Caenorhabditis elegans: one gene and its partner. The protein of the gene in region 2 interacts with the protein of the main gene of each other region in a biochemical or structural test. Each region holds a gene or a part of one and is shown on either strand. Other genes may lie near its edges.

What was found.
Region 1: of the proteins of gsk-3 (region 2) and skn-1, one has a biochemical effect on the other in vitro, tested with the Caenorhabditis elegans proteins (2 studies listed by BioGRID).

The regions. Positions count from the first base shown.
Region 1 is NC_003282.8:5,656,116-5,662,012, forward strand, and holds the start of skn-1 (Protein skinhead-1), read right to left. Parts: upstream 4,270-5,897; coding exon 4,141-4,269; intron 1,451-4,140; exon of another isoform or gene 1,301-1,450; intron 1,256-1,300; exon of another isoform or gene 1,203-1,255; intron 1-1,202. Other genes in the region: bec-1 (Beclin homolog), read right to left, coding at 5,225-5,410. UniProt on the Caenorhabditis elegans protein: Transcription factor. Required to specify the fate of ventral blastomeres in the early embryo, and postembryonically for the development of the intestine. Directly regulates expression of zygotically expressed med-1 and med-2 to direct mesendoderm development.
Region 2 is NC_003279.8:12,816,872-12,826,926, forward strand, and holds gsk-3 (Glycogen synthase kinase-3), read left to right. Parts: upstream 1-2,344; 5' UTR 2,345-2,490; coding exon 2,491-2,583; intron 2,584-3,663; coding exon 3,664-3,932; intron 3,933-4,778; coding exon 4,779-5,355; intron 5,356-7,247; exon of another isoform or gene 7,248-7,301; intron 7,302-7,644; coding exon 7,645-7,794; 3' UTR 7,795-8,731; downstream 8,732-10,055. Other genes in the region: nhx-8 (Sodium/hydrogen exchanger), read left to right, coding at 8,921-8,923.

The DNA of each region.
Region 1 (5,897 bases), on a different chromosome or scaffold from region 2:
CCTACGTGACTGTTGTTAGTTCTGTACACCGTTTTTCACTCACTACAGACTGATTTTCGATGATGTCATTGGCGTTTGGCCTGGCGCCAAATTTGAATTTCAGATAAATTTTAGAGAAAGAGGACACAGGAAGTCGTTCGAATAAAAAATCAGGTTCGAATTTTCTAGAACAATAATATCAGATGTAAATAAACAATAGAAAAAATTGCGATGATGCAAAAGATTTCGCAATACTTTTCAAAAATTGAATTCTGTTTTTAAAAAAATGCTACAAGACTACCGTAAGAAGTCACTTTTTTAAAAGTTTCTTAGTTTTCAAAAAATAAAACCAAACATTTTTGCCTAGAACAGTTATGTTAAAGTGAACTATGAACTGTCTAGAGACGACTGGATCAGAACAAAAAAAGCTAGAGAGCAAACAAGAAAAGTTGGTCAAATAAACGAGAAAAGGTTTTTTTTTGAAAAATCAATAGAAGTGCTAACGGGTTACTGTAGATATACGGGTTTTTAAGGAACTTGCAGAATTGAGTCGAGAAATCTACAAAAAAACTATTGAAATTGGGAGAAAAGCGAGAATTGCGTGAAAACTAAAACAAAAGTCAGTTTCGAGTGATTGAAATGCGACAAAAAATCATGAAAAAGCGAGAAAGCTTATACGAGTGAGTGAGAATATAATTCTAGATAAGGGCAACTAAAACATTTGCCGAAAATTCGAGTTCAAACTTGCTATCAGTGAGAGTTGAGAGTGCTTGGGTCAGGTGCCTGATTGAACTGGAATTGAAAGAAAAACATACATTCAAAGGCGCCTGACAATCAACAATTCAAAAAAGAACTCCGATTTCTGGGCGGTCCAAAACCGCAAAAAAAATAAAAGACAATTGATTCCAAAAACAGTAAACACAAGAAGTTAGTTGTCGTGTTGAGGTTACCAAGTGAAAAATGGCGTCAAAAAACAGAAAGAAAGGCGATTTCCAGAGACAACGAAAGAAAACCATCGAAACAGTGCACTCGGTGTCCTTATTTCTCTAAGTTCTCTACGATTTGTGCTAACTTGCCGCCATGGAAATGATGACAAATACGAGAGAGCGCGCCGATAGAGTAGATCACAAGACGAGGAGAGATGGCTGAAACTGTAGACACGCAGGGTGTACGAGAGAATGCTGGAAAGCGCATGTCCAATGGGAAGACGCAGAGGTAAAAAAATTTTGTGACCGCCGTGTCTATTTGCCTGAACACAGATAGACACAGACTTGTGGAGATCGAAAATCGCAACTTTTTGATCCGAAATCTTGGTGCGCGGTAAATTAACGTGCGCAGAAAATTGACCAATTAAATGAAAAACTAGAAGAGAAGGCTGCTGTGGGGGCCGTAACGAAGTCAACGAAAGCTGATAAGACCAGCATTGTCGCTCGCCGCTTGCACCAAAGACGACGACTACAAAACGACTACACAACGGCAGGTGAATGTTGTAGCGAGAGGGCGAGTGCGACCGAATTGTTGCAGGCAGGTAGTAGACGGTGGGAGGTGAAAAACCGAAGATCTGGAGAATGTGTGTGTGGATGTTGATGCAATTTTTCATAGCACGTTGCCCTTAAATTCTGATGAATCCACACAGAAGTAGTACAGAGCAGGACTGTGCGGAAAAATATTTCGGCAAACGTACAAAAATGAATATAAAAATGTAGGAAAATGCTCGCTCAATCTGAAAATGATATGTATTTTTGTTGGAAAAGTTTGAAAAAGACTTTCAATTGTGCCGTCTTTTAAAAAGTTTTCAAAAAAAATTTTTTTTTCAAACCGAACGAGCATTTTCCTACATTTTAACATTAATTTTTGATTCAAAAAGTTGATATATTTTTCGAAAAAAGTTACAAGTCTAGTACAGAATACTTTGAAAAACGATTGAAACTGAAACTCACGAAACCGAGAGAACAGTTTAAAACAATTATTCAATAAACTTAATGCTTGGTGGTACTGCTGAGAATAAAAAATTTGTTTTGATTTAATTTCTTCTCAACGCCTAATTTCAAAATGCGTGCTGGTTTTCACGTTTCCAAAAATCCAAGTTTTTTTTTGGAAAGGAACCAAAAATTCAAAAATAAAGCATATCAGTTTGAAGTTTGTGCCAAGACTGATAAGAAATATATGAGAGATGCAAAAGATATCACTTGACGAGAAAAAGAAAAGATTTTCGATATTCTAAAAAAGAGAGGTTTGGGTGCACACGGAAATCGGATACATCTACAATTGAGCTACAACTGAATTATTCAAACCACCTGCGTCAGACATGCATGGGAAAATTGAATTATCCACACACCTTCTTCCCTGTTGATATGTGATCAGAATTCTTCGAAATCTTGGCTAAAAATAATTATGATACTAAACCTGCTACAAACCACGTGTTTTTATTTTTATTATTACTACAACAAAAATAAAAACAAGCGCATAATAGTCTGATATTTGGTTGAAAATCTCAATTAATCAGAACATATCCTGTTTATTTCAGGATATTATGATCAAAAATCGCGAAATTTAGAATATAGTAGTTCCGTCGGAACTCAAAGAACTCAATCTTTCTGTTTGAGTGTACTGTGAGTTTGACATCATATTTGGCTGTTTATGAATTCTCGTAGAACGTGATGTTCAGAATTATATTTCTTGACCTCAACCGTGAAAACGAATAGGTTCAGCATGTCAAATACATTGCAATTCAATTAGAATATAGTAGAAGAAAGCTTCTACTCATATTCTGTCAATAAATAATCATACTTTCAATTTTTACAAATCGAAAGCTGTGATCCGAATTTCAACTTATACCAATTCCTTGATCCATTGCGTGCAAAAACCCAACTAACCATGTCAACCGCACCCATTCACAATCAGACCACAGATATGATTCAAGTCATTTTTTCGGTTTTAAACGTCTCATTTCCAGATGATATCATCTTGCACCGAGAGCGTCAATTTAATCAAACGGTTTGATCAAACATTGTACGTGGTGGTGGAAAACCGTTGTTGATAGTCGCTGTCGGCGTAGCAGAAAAAGTTCGAAAAATCAAGAGCCTCGTGGGGTGTCTATCAGGATGGTAATGCTGCTATCAAGCTGGCATATAGGCAATCGGGGGTTTGCGATTTTGGAGCGACTCCGGCAAGATGTTTGTATAATATACATATATGGAGGACAATGTACAGACAGTAATATTTTAGGCTAAGTTTAAGATTGAAGAGATTGGAAAATATCTGAAAATCTGATGATCTGGCGGAAGAAGGATTTCGGAAGGGAACGGTCTTCTTAGCGGCTCTGAAATACAAAGATCACGCTTTCCATTGTTTTCTTGAATTTTTGAAATTCTACTTTTCAGAGGACTTCGACTTCGTCCTCTGGCATTTACGAACATAGTCGTTCCGGCATCATTATTGCAACAGAGAGAGAGAGAGAGAGACAGAATGAGCCGTGAATAGTTTCAGACAACGAGGCAACTGTGACATTCTACATGAGATAGTTGGGATTAACACGTAACAATGCGGGAGACCTAGATAACGAGAGTGATGTGACTGAAGTGATAAGAGGAGAAGGTGGTCTGATATGGAGTTTGGGAAGGAAAAGCTGTTCAAAGTAAATATGTTACGCGGTCTTTGAGAAATGATCTATAACCGGGTGTAAATAAGAAAAAATGTTTGAATTTGAACTTGAAAAATCATATTTTTGAAAACTCGACTCTCAATTGTGGTGTATTTTCCCTATTTTAGTCTACTCGAATTAATAGAAACTTCCAAGAATAATATATAGGTAGATGATGAAAAAGCTTAAAAAAGCTAAAAATAGGCTCCACTCAGATCTTGGTTATTCTTTTAGTTTTTTTTCTTGTTTCTGAAGAAATTAAGTAATCCGTGAAGAGAAAAGCCATGTTTAAGGTTAAAGCTGGAATTTTGAGCCAAAAATCTTGGGAAAAAATCTACAAATCTTAGTTAAAGTTGGATTTAGAACATGAAGAAAACAAAAATTGTAAATGCAAGTAATATTGAATCAGAATTGCAAGAGTTGACTGGAAAAGTGATACGAAAAGTCATGCTCTCCCGTGAAATGATGATATTCTTCAGGTCTTTTTACTTGATAAAACCAACAAAAAAAAAACTAACCGACACTCCATAAATTGACGTCGTCTCTTCTTCGTCGTCGGCTACCGAAGAGAAGCACTGTCTTCGTCTTCGTTTATCGTCTCGTCTCGTCGCCGACGTACTTCGCTGACGGCGTGATGAACCGCCCATCGACTGACTGGATTATGATAGATCCTGTGAGAATGAGTGGAACACTTCTCTCAACAATATTCGGACACGGACTCGCGGCTGAGTGACCAGAGTCCGATCGACGGAGGAGAAACGCGTGAACGACGACACGAGGCCTTCTCTGCAATATTTTGAGTTACAACAATTTTTTTTCTAGAATTCAGAAAACGGGAATTTTCGGAATTACAAGAACTATTCTAGAAAAAACTAGAAACTTCGTTTTTGGGGAATTGTATTGTCTACAAAAACCTACAGTATTTTTTTTCAAATTTAATTAAAGGAGGAATATAGTTTGTGGGAGGTTTTCGCTTAAAAAAAACTAAATCTGGCACAAAAGTGCCGAATTTCATAGTGATATTTATTTAAATAATTTCAAAAACGTTTATGACTGGAAAAATCGAAAAAACATTCAAATTTTCCACACATTTTGGTCGAAAATAAAAAAAAAACGGTGTTTTAGCTTTAAAAAAATCCAGAATTTAGCAAAATTTGGACCTTATTTTTCGATATTTTCAGTTATACATTTTTCGAAAATTTTGAGGCAATATTAGTAAAATCAGATTAAAATAAGTTTAGTGGTAGGAACTTGATTTCACAGTTTCAGAAAATTTTAATAATCATTAAACCAAGTAAAGCAACAAGAAAGAGAAAATAAATTAGGAAAAATTCAAATTTTAGATAACAGAATTGGTTTCAAAACCAATCAACAAAAAATAACAAAATTTCCTCCACAAGACTGCAATAAAAATCTTTACTTTTAATATATTTACATATGGTACAAGTTTGGGGAAAAGGCAGAATTCCAGCAGAAAATTTGAAAAAAAAAACTAGAAATCACAATGAAAATTGAATATTTTTTAAAGAAGCGTCCCTGAGAAATTGAAAAAAAAATTTCTAGCGTTGAAAATGTTATTCTACATTTGATCCCGTGAAATCACTAAATAGGCGATCTGAGAGCATCGCATTGAGCACACGCAGCTTTGAGATCTGTGAGCATTAGAGCCATTGCACGAGTCCATCGAACATCTGTGTTGAGTGTCATAACTGCATTGTATTTGACACCATTGTCAACCAGTGAATCAGCATGAATTTGATATGGTGGTTTGAAATTTTTGTTTCGATCCTGAAAAATGTATAAAAATTAGGGTGTTTCTGAAACCAAAAAATTATAAAATCGATCTTTATACCGGAAAATGAATATTGTAAATCCATTCTTAACGAGATGTGAAATTTTACAGTTTTGCTCCAAAAATACTTTAAAAAACCCGATTTACTCAAACTCATAAGGGATCGTGCGCCTTTAAGGCCTACGGTATTTCCCAACTCCTCAAGTGTTCACCCAATTATTTAAATAAAATTTATTAAAAAACATGTAAAAACACGCCAAATTTCGTAGAAACGGGCGGAAAACTAGGAAAAATCACTCTTTTTCACTAGTTTCTTTCAGATTTGGGTTGGTTTTATACCTTTTTAACGTAAATCGGTTGAAAAATGGGAGTTGGGAACTACAGTAGGCCTTAAAGGTGCACGATTTTTTTGAAGTTCAGAAAATCTGTCTATTTTTGTATTTTTGAAGCAGAAATCGCATAAACTTTTGCAAATGGGTAATA
Region 2 (10,055 bases):
ACGAGACCCACTGAGAATGTGAGCGTGTTCCTTTAAAGTATCGTTTCTATTATTTGCGAATATACGATATAATTTCCGGCAAATCGGCAAATTGCCGGAATTGAAAATTTCTGGCAAATCGGCAAACCGGCAATTTACCGATAATTTCCGATGTACCGAAAAAACGGCAATTGCCGAAAATTTTTGGAAAATTGCGGATTCGCACATTTTTTTTGGAAATTTCAGAATTTAAATTTTAATCGGCAAAATTGTTCCCATTCTGTGAATGTTCCTATATCTATTTTGAACAGTAAGCAAATTCTATGAAAATACTTAAAGAAAACGGGAAAAAATTTCAAAACGGCACATTTCCGGCAAACGGCAAATCGGCAAATTACCGAGAATGAAAAATTCCGGCAAATCCGCAAACCGGCAAGTTCGCAAAAAAAATTGCCAAATTTCCGTCCACCCTTAATTGGACATTCCCGACATTGCCGAATTTCAACATTTCCGATACAAAAATAAATATAAAATCAGTATAGAATGAAAATAGAAACCATGGGAACATTGAATATGCTTATTTCCACATTGATAGCGCATTTCTTCTTCTTCTTTTTTCTTTTTCATTTCCTTTTTCTTCTCCATCTCACCATATTTTTGCCCATTTCCTCCATCAGACACGCGCTCGCGCTCACTCGCTCACCACACTCAATTTTAGCTGTTTTTCCTTCTTTTCCACCCCCTCATATTGACTGACACATATATATTATATATATATATATATATAAAGATACATATATGCAAATTGATGTTCGGCAAATTGACATTGTGCAATTTGCCGAACATGAAAATTTCCGGCAAACTGGCAAACCGGCAGTTTCCCGGAAAACAATTTTCCGAACGACAATTGCCAGTTTTCCGGTATATATATTTATATATTCCCTATTACGATCAATATAGAATCCTGTTTAGCCAAAATCTTTTTTGATTTTTCCCAAGGAACAACATTTTAAAAAAATACGTACCTTTTTATTGCCACGAAATTTAATTGGAAAAAATCAATTTTGAAATAAAATGTATTTTTGTATTTATATAAAAAGCAATTCTATTTATTTTTAAAACGTGTTGGATTAGTTTTTTAAAATAAAAAAAACAACACCGAAATTTAGTCATTTTTCGTTCAATCGTTAGTGAGAAGCGGTGAGTTTTGGCGATTTTGAGCATTTTCCGTTGAAAATATGAGTAATTTCCTATTAAACTGGTTATTTCGATCGCGCTAGTGAAATTTCTTGAAATTGTGTAGCAAAATGGGCTTACATGCTATTTTAAGATGAGCAATTGAAGCATTTTATTTTGATTCAGTCAGAATTTTGAAATACTTACGAAAATAGCAATTATATCAATTCCAAATCAAAAAATATGGTACTTATGGGTTTCGTTCCCCCCAAAATGATTTCCATATTTTCTAATTGATACGTGAACTTTTTTTTCATTCCCAGGCTTAGGGAAATGATTTTCTAAGCCTTGTAAAAATGAAAACAGTATTAAAATAAACAATAACGTGTGGATTAAAATTAAAAAGGTAGTGTTGAATAATTAAAAATCATTTTGGGGGGAACGAAACCCATAAGTACCAAAAATATAGTTTCTTCTAGAAATATATTTTTTATTGCCGCTAAATTTAGAAAAATTCAATTTCGAATGAATATGTATTTATTTATTTTGAAAAAAACGTACATTAAAACGTGTCGGATTAGATTTTACTTCCCTTTTTTTAATTTTAAAATTCAAAAAATTCATTTCTATATTTAAAAATTTGGCAGTTTTGGCGTTTCCCTTTTATTACAGTGAGTTAGCCAACTTTTTCGAGCTAATAACATTACATTAAGCTTTAGAAAAAACTTTAGAAGTTTTGAGAAATACTACTTTTAAAACTTCGATTTTTTCAATTTTTGGCTAAATTCTATTCTAGTTTGAATATCCTCCAAAATGAGAGCTCCCCTACGACTATTTTGGATTTTTTGAAGCGAATCCTAAAAAAATGGGCTGAAAATGCCAAAAATCGTCTAATTTCCAGTAAAGTTTTTTGGCGAAATCCATATTTAACAGCTCTTTAATAGTCCTACAAATTCGACAAATTGCCGATTCGTCGGAAATTGGCCGGTTTACCGATTTGCCAGAAAAAGTCGTTTGCCGCCCACCCCTGTTCCCACTTTGGCTAGGAATTCCTAAAAGTTTATCGAATTTTGAAATGTTACTCCATTTCACCTCATATTTGCCTTAAATATCACCCATTTTTATACGTTTCCTCGTATTTTTCAAACCCAACGCCCAAATGAAATATTTTATTATTTTTTATTTTCAGGTGAATAGCCTCATTCTCTCCGTTTTCCCTCTCAAAAAACCACATCATATCCTCATCATCTAATCTCTGGCTCTTCTCATTTATTGGACAGAGCTCATATATACACACACACACACAAGAATCAAATCAATCAGTAGTGTGGTGTGATGAATAAGCAGTTACTATCGTGCTCGCTGAAAAGCGGAAAACAAGTGACGATGGTCGTCGCGTCAGTCGCCACGGATGGTGTTGATCAGCAGGTTGGTTTTGAGTGAGGAAATTTTAATTTTCTCGGAGAAATTTGGATGAAAAGAAGTTGGATATCAGAGGTGGGCGGGTATTTTTTTCGGATATTTTCTAATAATGAATTTATCAATAAGTATTGATGTAGTTATTCTGGAAAAAATGTATCCGAACAAAAGAGTAACTATTAAGCAACATTTTAATATGATAAAACCTAAAAAAATTCTACAAGTTTTCTGTATAAACGATATGCAAGTCCATTATCCGATATCCGTAATATCCGTAATATCCGATTGCTTAATAGTTACTCTTTTGTTCGGATACATTTCTTCCAGAATAACTACATCAATACTTATTGATAAATTCATTATTAGAAAATATCCGAAAAAATATCCGCCCACCTCTGGTGGAAATGCATGAAAATGAGGATTTTCACAAAAAAAAACTCTTTGGAAGTGATACAAATATATTTTTCGATATTTAGTACAACACAATAAATGAGTTATTACGTGTTTATCCACAGATAAGAAAAATCGCCATATCTGCCGCGCAAATGAACCCGCGGGAAGAGACAAAACTACTGTAGTTTTTAACCAATTTGTGTAGATTTACGAGCTATTGCGTCATCGTTGAATTTAATTTTGAGCCGCAATTTTTAATTTTCAGGCGTGTTTCACTCTTTTTTATATTGAAATTTATCTATTTATTGAATAAATCTTAAAAGAAAACACAAAAAAATTAGAAAAACGCCTGCAAATTAAATTCAACGATGACGCAATAGCTCGTAAATCTACACAAATTGGTTAAAAACTACAGTAGTTTTATCTCTTCCCGCGGGTTCATTTGCGCGGCAGATATGGCGATTTTTCTCATCTGTGGATAAACACGTAATAAATAGGTTGACAAAATTGTTCTCCTTTTCCTCGTGGAGTACACGATTTTACTCAAGCACTTAAAATATCAATTTCTTCAAAAAAAAAAAAAGGAAATTTGCTGGAAAACTAGCTGATAAAATGTGAAAAAATTATTATTAAAAAATCTCCAAACGAAAAAAAACACTGTAATTCAAATTTTAATTAAAAAAAAATGTATTGTAGGTTGAAATCTCGTACTACGATCAGAAAGTGATTGGAAATGGATCATTCGGAGTGGTATTCCTTGCCAAACTCTCTACAACAAATGAAATGGTTGCAATCAAGAAAGTTCTTCAGGACAAACGATTCAAGAATCGTGAACTACAGATTATGCGAAAATTGAATCATCCAAATATCGTGAAGCTCAAATACTTTTTCTATTCGAGCGGCGAGAAGAAGGATGAACTCTACTTGAATTTGATTCTCGAATATGTTCCTGAAACTGTCTACAGGTTATTTTTATTAGGATTTTTAAAAATTTCTGGAAAATTTCAGTTTTTAGCGGAATTTTTTTGTTCAAAAATAAAGAGAATTTCTTATTTAAAAATTGAAAAAAAAAATTTTTTTGGAAATTTTTAAATAAAAATTGCGAATTTCTTTTTTAAAGATATTTTTAAAAATTTTGAAAAACAATAGTAGAAATTCAATAAAAAGCTGAATTTTTATGTTTTTTTTTGTGAAAAACTGTTTAAAAATGATGTTAATGTAAATTTTTAAAGGAAATAATCAAAAAATGCCTGATTTTTTTAACCTTTTTTGTTAATTTCTGACAAAAATTCATGGAAATTTGATTTTCCGTCGATTTTGTGAAATTTTGGTTCGAAAATTGAATTTTTTCGCTAAATTTTGATTTTTTAAGATAAAAATTGATTTTTCCCGAATTCCAGCGCTACAGGGCGATTTCAAGCAGATTTCTTTGCAACATTTTTGACTAAAATGCACTATTTCACGAATTTCCTCCTGAAATTTATGTAAAAAGCTATTTAAAAGTTCAAAAATGCGTTCCAAACGTATAGAAAGGCTACAAACTACATGGCTGATAGCTTGGAATTTAGAAAATACGATTTTAAAACAAAAAAACTTGAAATTTTGCAAAATTCTTTACAAAATTGAAAATATTCTATTTTTTTATAATTTTGAATTTTCAAGTTGAAAACCTAGAAATTTTTTTTTGACAATTTTTGACTAAAATTTATGGAAAAAATTATGTAAAAATTGAAAAAATTTAGAAAAATCGATTTTTAAACAAAAAAACTTGATGTTTTGCGAAATTTATTTGAAATTTTTAATTTTTGCAGAGTTGCCCGGCACTATTCGAAGCAGCGACAACAAATTCCAATGATTTATGTCAAATTGTACATGTATCAGCTTCTCCGTTCATTGGCCTACATTCATAGCATTGGAATCTGTCACCGTGACATTAAGCCTCAGAATTTGCTCATTGACCCGGAAAGCGGAGTGCTTAAGCTCTGTGATTTTGGATCTGCCAAATATTTGGTTCGCAATGAGCCAAACGTCTCGTACATTTGCTCGCGATATTATCGTGCTCCGGAGCTCATTTTCGGCGCTACAAACTACACGAACTCGATTGACGTTTGGTCGGCTGGAACTGTAATGGCAGAGCTTCTTCTCGGCCAACCAATTTTCCCTGGTGACTCTGGAGTTGATCAACTCGTTGAAATTATTAAAGTTCTTGGAACACCGACTCGTGAACAAATTCAAAGTATGAATCCGAACTACAAGGAATTCAAATTTCCACAGATAAAGGCACATCCATGGAATAAGGTATTCCGTGTACACACGCCTGCTGAAGCGATTGATCTCATTTCGAAGATTATCGAGTATACGCCGACGTCTCGGCCAACACCTCAAGCGGTGAGTTTTTTGGGGGTTTTTGTAGAAAAAAGGCCGAAAAATGAATTAAAAATGTTTTCCCAACACTAAATTGCTGAAAATCGACTCTTTTTTCAACTAAAAACCTTTTAAATTGAAAAAAATTGATTTTTTGTCATTGAAAACTTGAGAAAATTGCCCAAAAGTTTAAAAAATACTGCGAAATTCAGGAATTTTAATCATTTTGGCTATTTTACAATTTTATGAGAAAAATCTCTAAAAATTAATGGAAGTTTGAATTTTTCGACTTTTTATCGAGATAATTAAAATGGCGAAAATTGCACAAAAAATGTCAAAAACTGATTTCCGGTAGTTTTTAACGTTTAAAAACACTTGAAAATGGAAAAACAAAACTTATATTAAAATTGTGTCAAAAAATTATTGAAATTGTCTAAAAATGGACTTTTTTTTTGTTTTTCGGTTTTGAAAGCGAATGTTCTGTAATTTTATTCTCAAAAAATGCGAATTTTTGCTCACAAAAGTTATTATGGAACACAAAATCCTTAAAAAAACATATTCGATGCGCAAAATATATCGTAGCGAAAACTACAGTAACCTTTTAAAGGACTACTGTAGCGCTGCGCTTGTGTCGATTTACGGGCTCGATTTTTATTCTGCATTTATTAATCAAAAAATGAGACAATAATACGAAGAAACGAAGGAAAATATAGAATAGATTCATATCGAAAATCAATCCCGTAAATCGCCACACGGAGCTATAGTACCCATTTAAAGGGTTACTGTAGTTTTCGCAATGAGATATTTTGCGCGTCAATTATGATGTGTAATACGCATTCTTCTCAGAATTTTCGGTTCCCGTAATATGAATGAAAAAAAAAGAGAAAGTTGAGTGTGATTTTTGAGACATTAGACAGTTGACTGAAAATTTATTTAAAAAATTTCGGCCATTCGGTCAGCTTATTTTTCCTCCATTTTGAAAATTGCAGATTTTGCAGATTTTCGATCGCTCAAAAAAAAAGCAGCCAGTTTGAAACGAAATTCAATGATTTTATCTGTATTTTTCCAAAAAAAAGTATCTTCATTGTTCACAAATTCGATCGCCCCCTCACAAAACCGCTTAGAAAGTCCACCCCGTTCGTTGGTTGCTTTTGAAAATCGCCTTAATATCTATCGTTGAAATCTTTGTTTCCTCATTGTAATTCTCCCATAGATCAAGCCATTTCCCGGTTTTTTTTCTTAGATTTCTCAAATTGGCACGAATATGGAAGATATTTATGGAAGCAGATGGGAGCATTAGATTTTTACACAAAAAAAATTGCAGAATTTTGGCTTTTTTTTCCAATTTTTGGAAAAAGATAACTTGTGAAACCGTGGTTTTTAATTTTGAAAAAAAAGCTATAAATTCAAAGTTAGTGAAATCTGAAATAGACATAAAAATTGAAAATCCCACTGAAATTTCAACTTGAATTTAACAAAATTTCAGCTAAAACTTGGAAAGAAATGTTTCTTGGAATTTTTATAGAACTCGCTGACAAGCAGTGAGCAGTAAAAAACTCGGCTCACAATTTATCCGTACTTTTATTTTTTGAAACTAGTAACTAAATGTCAACTGCAAGAATATTAGAGGCCATACTACAAATGAGATTTCCAGAAAATTATGATGTTCTCGTAATTTTAAAGATGGAGACATTTACGTGGTATGATGGTTGAAAATTAGAAAATTGGCTTGAAAACACTTTTAAATTTAGAAAAACCACAAAAAACGAGCAAAATCGAGAAAAATGAACAATTCAACTTTCGAAAACACGATTTTCCCTATTGTGACTAACTAGTATATTTTAAATTTCCATTTTGAATTTCCTCCAAAACGAGAACTTCCCGACCAATCAGCGATTCGTCCTGCCCACTTTTCAACCAATCAGATGAAGTGGGCGGAGTTCGATGTCGTTGATTGATCGATTGGGGAGTTTGCATTTTGGAGGGAATTGTCTGCGTTTTGATCTACAAAAAATGCGGGAATTTTTTCCCAGAAAAATTGTAACGTCTGCACGCTTTTAACCATGTGAAATCAGTTGAGATGTTTGCGTCTCATCTCCCGCATTTTTCGTAGATCAAATCAAAATGGGACTTTCTGACTCCACGTGGATTCAAACATGGGGAATTTGGAACTCACAATGGACAAAAATATCGATTTTGCTCGTTTTTCTGAATTTGAGACTGTATTTTGAAATTTTTGAGAGACAAAATCGCCCCCAATTCACGCTACTTTAACAATTCAACCAATATATATATGTTTTTCGTCTTTTTCAGGCCTGCCAGCACGCATTCTTTGATGAGCTCCGAAACCCGGATGCACGTCTTCCATCTGGTCGACCTCTTCCAACACTTGAGATGGACGGTCCAATGGGAACTGGTGAAGTTTCAACGACAAGCGGTGATGTGGCTGGCCCATCGGCTTAAACTTCTTTTTTTTATTTTAATATTGGTTCTGAATTTTCTCTCGAATGTTTCTTTTTTTTTCATTTTCCGTGGGATTTTTCTTTTCCATTGATTTTATACATCCATCCTCTCCTCTCTCTCTGTCTCTCTCTCTCTCCATACCTATCATCATTAAGAAAAAAATTATTATTTTTTCTTTTGAGCCCTCCCCCCCCCACCCCCCTCCATCGCCCGTATCGTCTCCATAGCAACTGTGTTGTAGAAGCATTTCCCCCCAACTCGATTGTCTGCTGCTCTTCTTTTATTTTATTTTATTGTCCCCTCAAGCTTTTTTGTCTCGAAAAACTTGAATTTTTACTCTTTTTTTTTTACCCCACCTGGCTCCCCCCTGGATTTTTCTGTGAAAATTTGGCTAAAAATTAGGTTTTCAAGGTTCCTGAAATTTTGGCTGAAAATTGGGTTTTAGGCCAAAAATTTTGGGTTTTTTAAACCTTTGGCCTAATTTTTGAGGCCCAATTTTTTAGGACTTCATCTAGGCCCAAAGGCCTGAAAAAATCCGCGACTTCTGTACATTTCCTCCCCCTCCGCCGCCGTTTTCTTTTGTAATCCCGATTTTGTGTTCCCACGCTCTCCTCTAAAGAAATTTCTAGCCAAAAATGAATTGAAAACTGCTCTCTCTCTCCCCCATATTTTCTGTCTTTTTTTCTTTTCTTTTTTTTGCTCTGTAAGTGTCTCCCCACAACGCCAATGTCCCTGTTTTTGTGGAAATTTTTTATATATTTTTTGGAAATATAGTATTTGTCCCCCCAATTCATTACATTTTAAAAATATTTTATTTTTCCCCACTCTACCACCACCACCAACTGAAATTTCACACACCATCCAAATTCTCTCCGTCTCTCTCTCTCTCTCTCATTTTATTTTCATTTTTTTTCCTGGAAATAAAAGTGGATCGATTTTTCTGAAGATTTTCGAGATAATGATCATCCCCCCGCGCGCGCATCTCCGAATAATGCCTCTTCTTTGGACATTAAACAGTCATTTATTTGTCCGATGCGCCTTTGAAGAGACGAGAAGCTTCCTTGTTAATATTTTTCATTTTGAACCGCTGGCGCTGAAATTTACTATACATTGCTACTGAACATAAATGGTGAGGCTGTGGTGGTTTTGTAGTTTGTAGTCTTTGTGACTACAAACTACGAAAATTACTTTTTTTTTCCGCTTGGAATTGGCTTTAAAATGAAAGTTTTTTTAGTTTTTGAAAATTGGAAATTTTTTTAAATTTTAGATTTTCAGAGCGAAATCGACGATTTTTTTTTCGAAAACCGGGATTTTTATGAAATTTTGCTATTTTTGCGCAAAAAATACGGTACCGGGTCTCGACACGACAATTTTTTGTCGAATACGAACAGGTGTGCGCCTTTAAAGGATACTGTAGTTTCAAACTTGTGTTGCTGCGGAGTTTTCATCGATTTTTCGGTTTTTTTTTTGGTAAAAGCATATTTAAAACTCAAATATTACAATAAAAACACTTAAACTTAAACAATTTACCGAAAGAAAGACAGAAAAATCGATAACAATTGCATAGAAACAAAAGTTTGAAGTTACAGTACTCTTTAAAGGCGCACACCTTTTCGTATTTAACAAAAACTGTCGTGTCGAGACCGGATACCGTATTTTTGGGGCGAAAATCACAATTTTTTACGTCTGGTTAATATTTAATAATTTTTACGAATTTTTCAATAAATTTACATTTTTTTCAAATTCTTTATTTTTTTAAGCGAGTTATTGTGAAAAGTTATACATTTTCTTGCAATTTTCTTTAAAAAGTACAAAAAATTGGTTTTTTTCAAGAAAAAAATTCATGGCCGAGGTTTCCATTTTCACGGCCACGTAGAAAAATTCGACTACAAACTCCAAAAAAAAAACCTTTGAAAATCTTTAAAAATCCAAATTTCCACGAGTTTTTTTTCTTCCAAATATTTGCTAAATGACTGGTTGGTTATTGGAAGTGTACGAGTGTGTGCTAAAAAAGAAATAGAGCGCAGTTTCCACTACACTGTCTGCGGTCTCTGCGCTCGGCACACTCTCTCGTCGTCTCTTTCTCTCTCTCTATTCATACAAGAGAAGAATTTCGATTGAAACGTGTGTGTGTGTGTGTGTGTGAAATACACGTGGATTCCACATTTTGCACTCTTTTGAACCATTTCATTATGTTCTTTTTCATTTAGATATTGGTTGAGGCTCAGAAATTGTGTAGTTTGTAGTCTGAGCCTTAATGT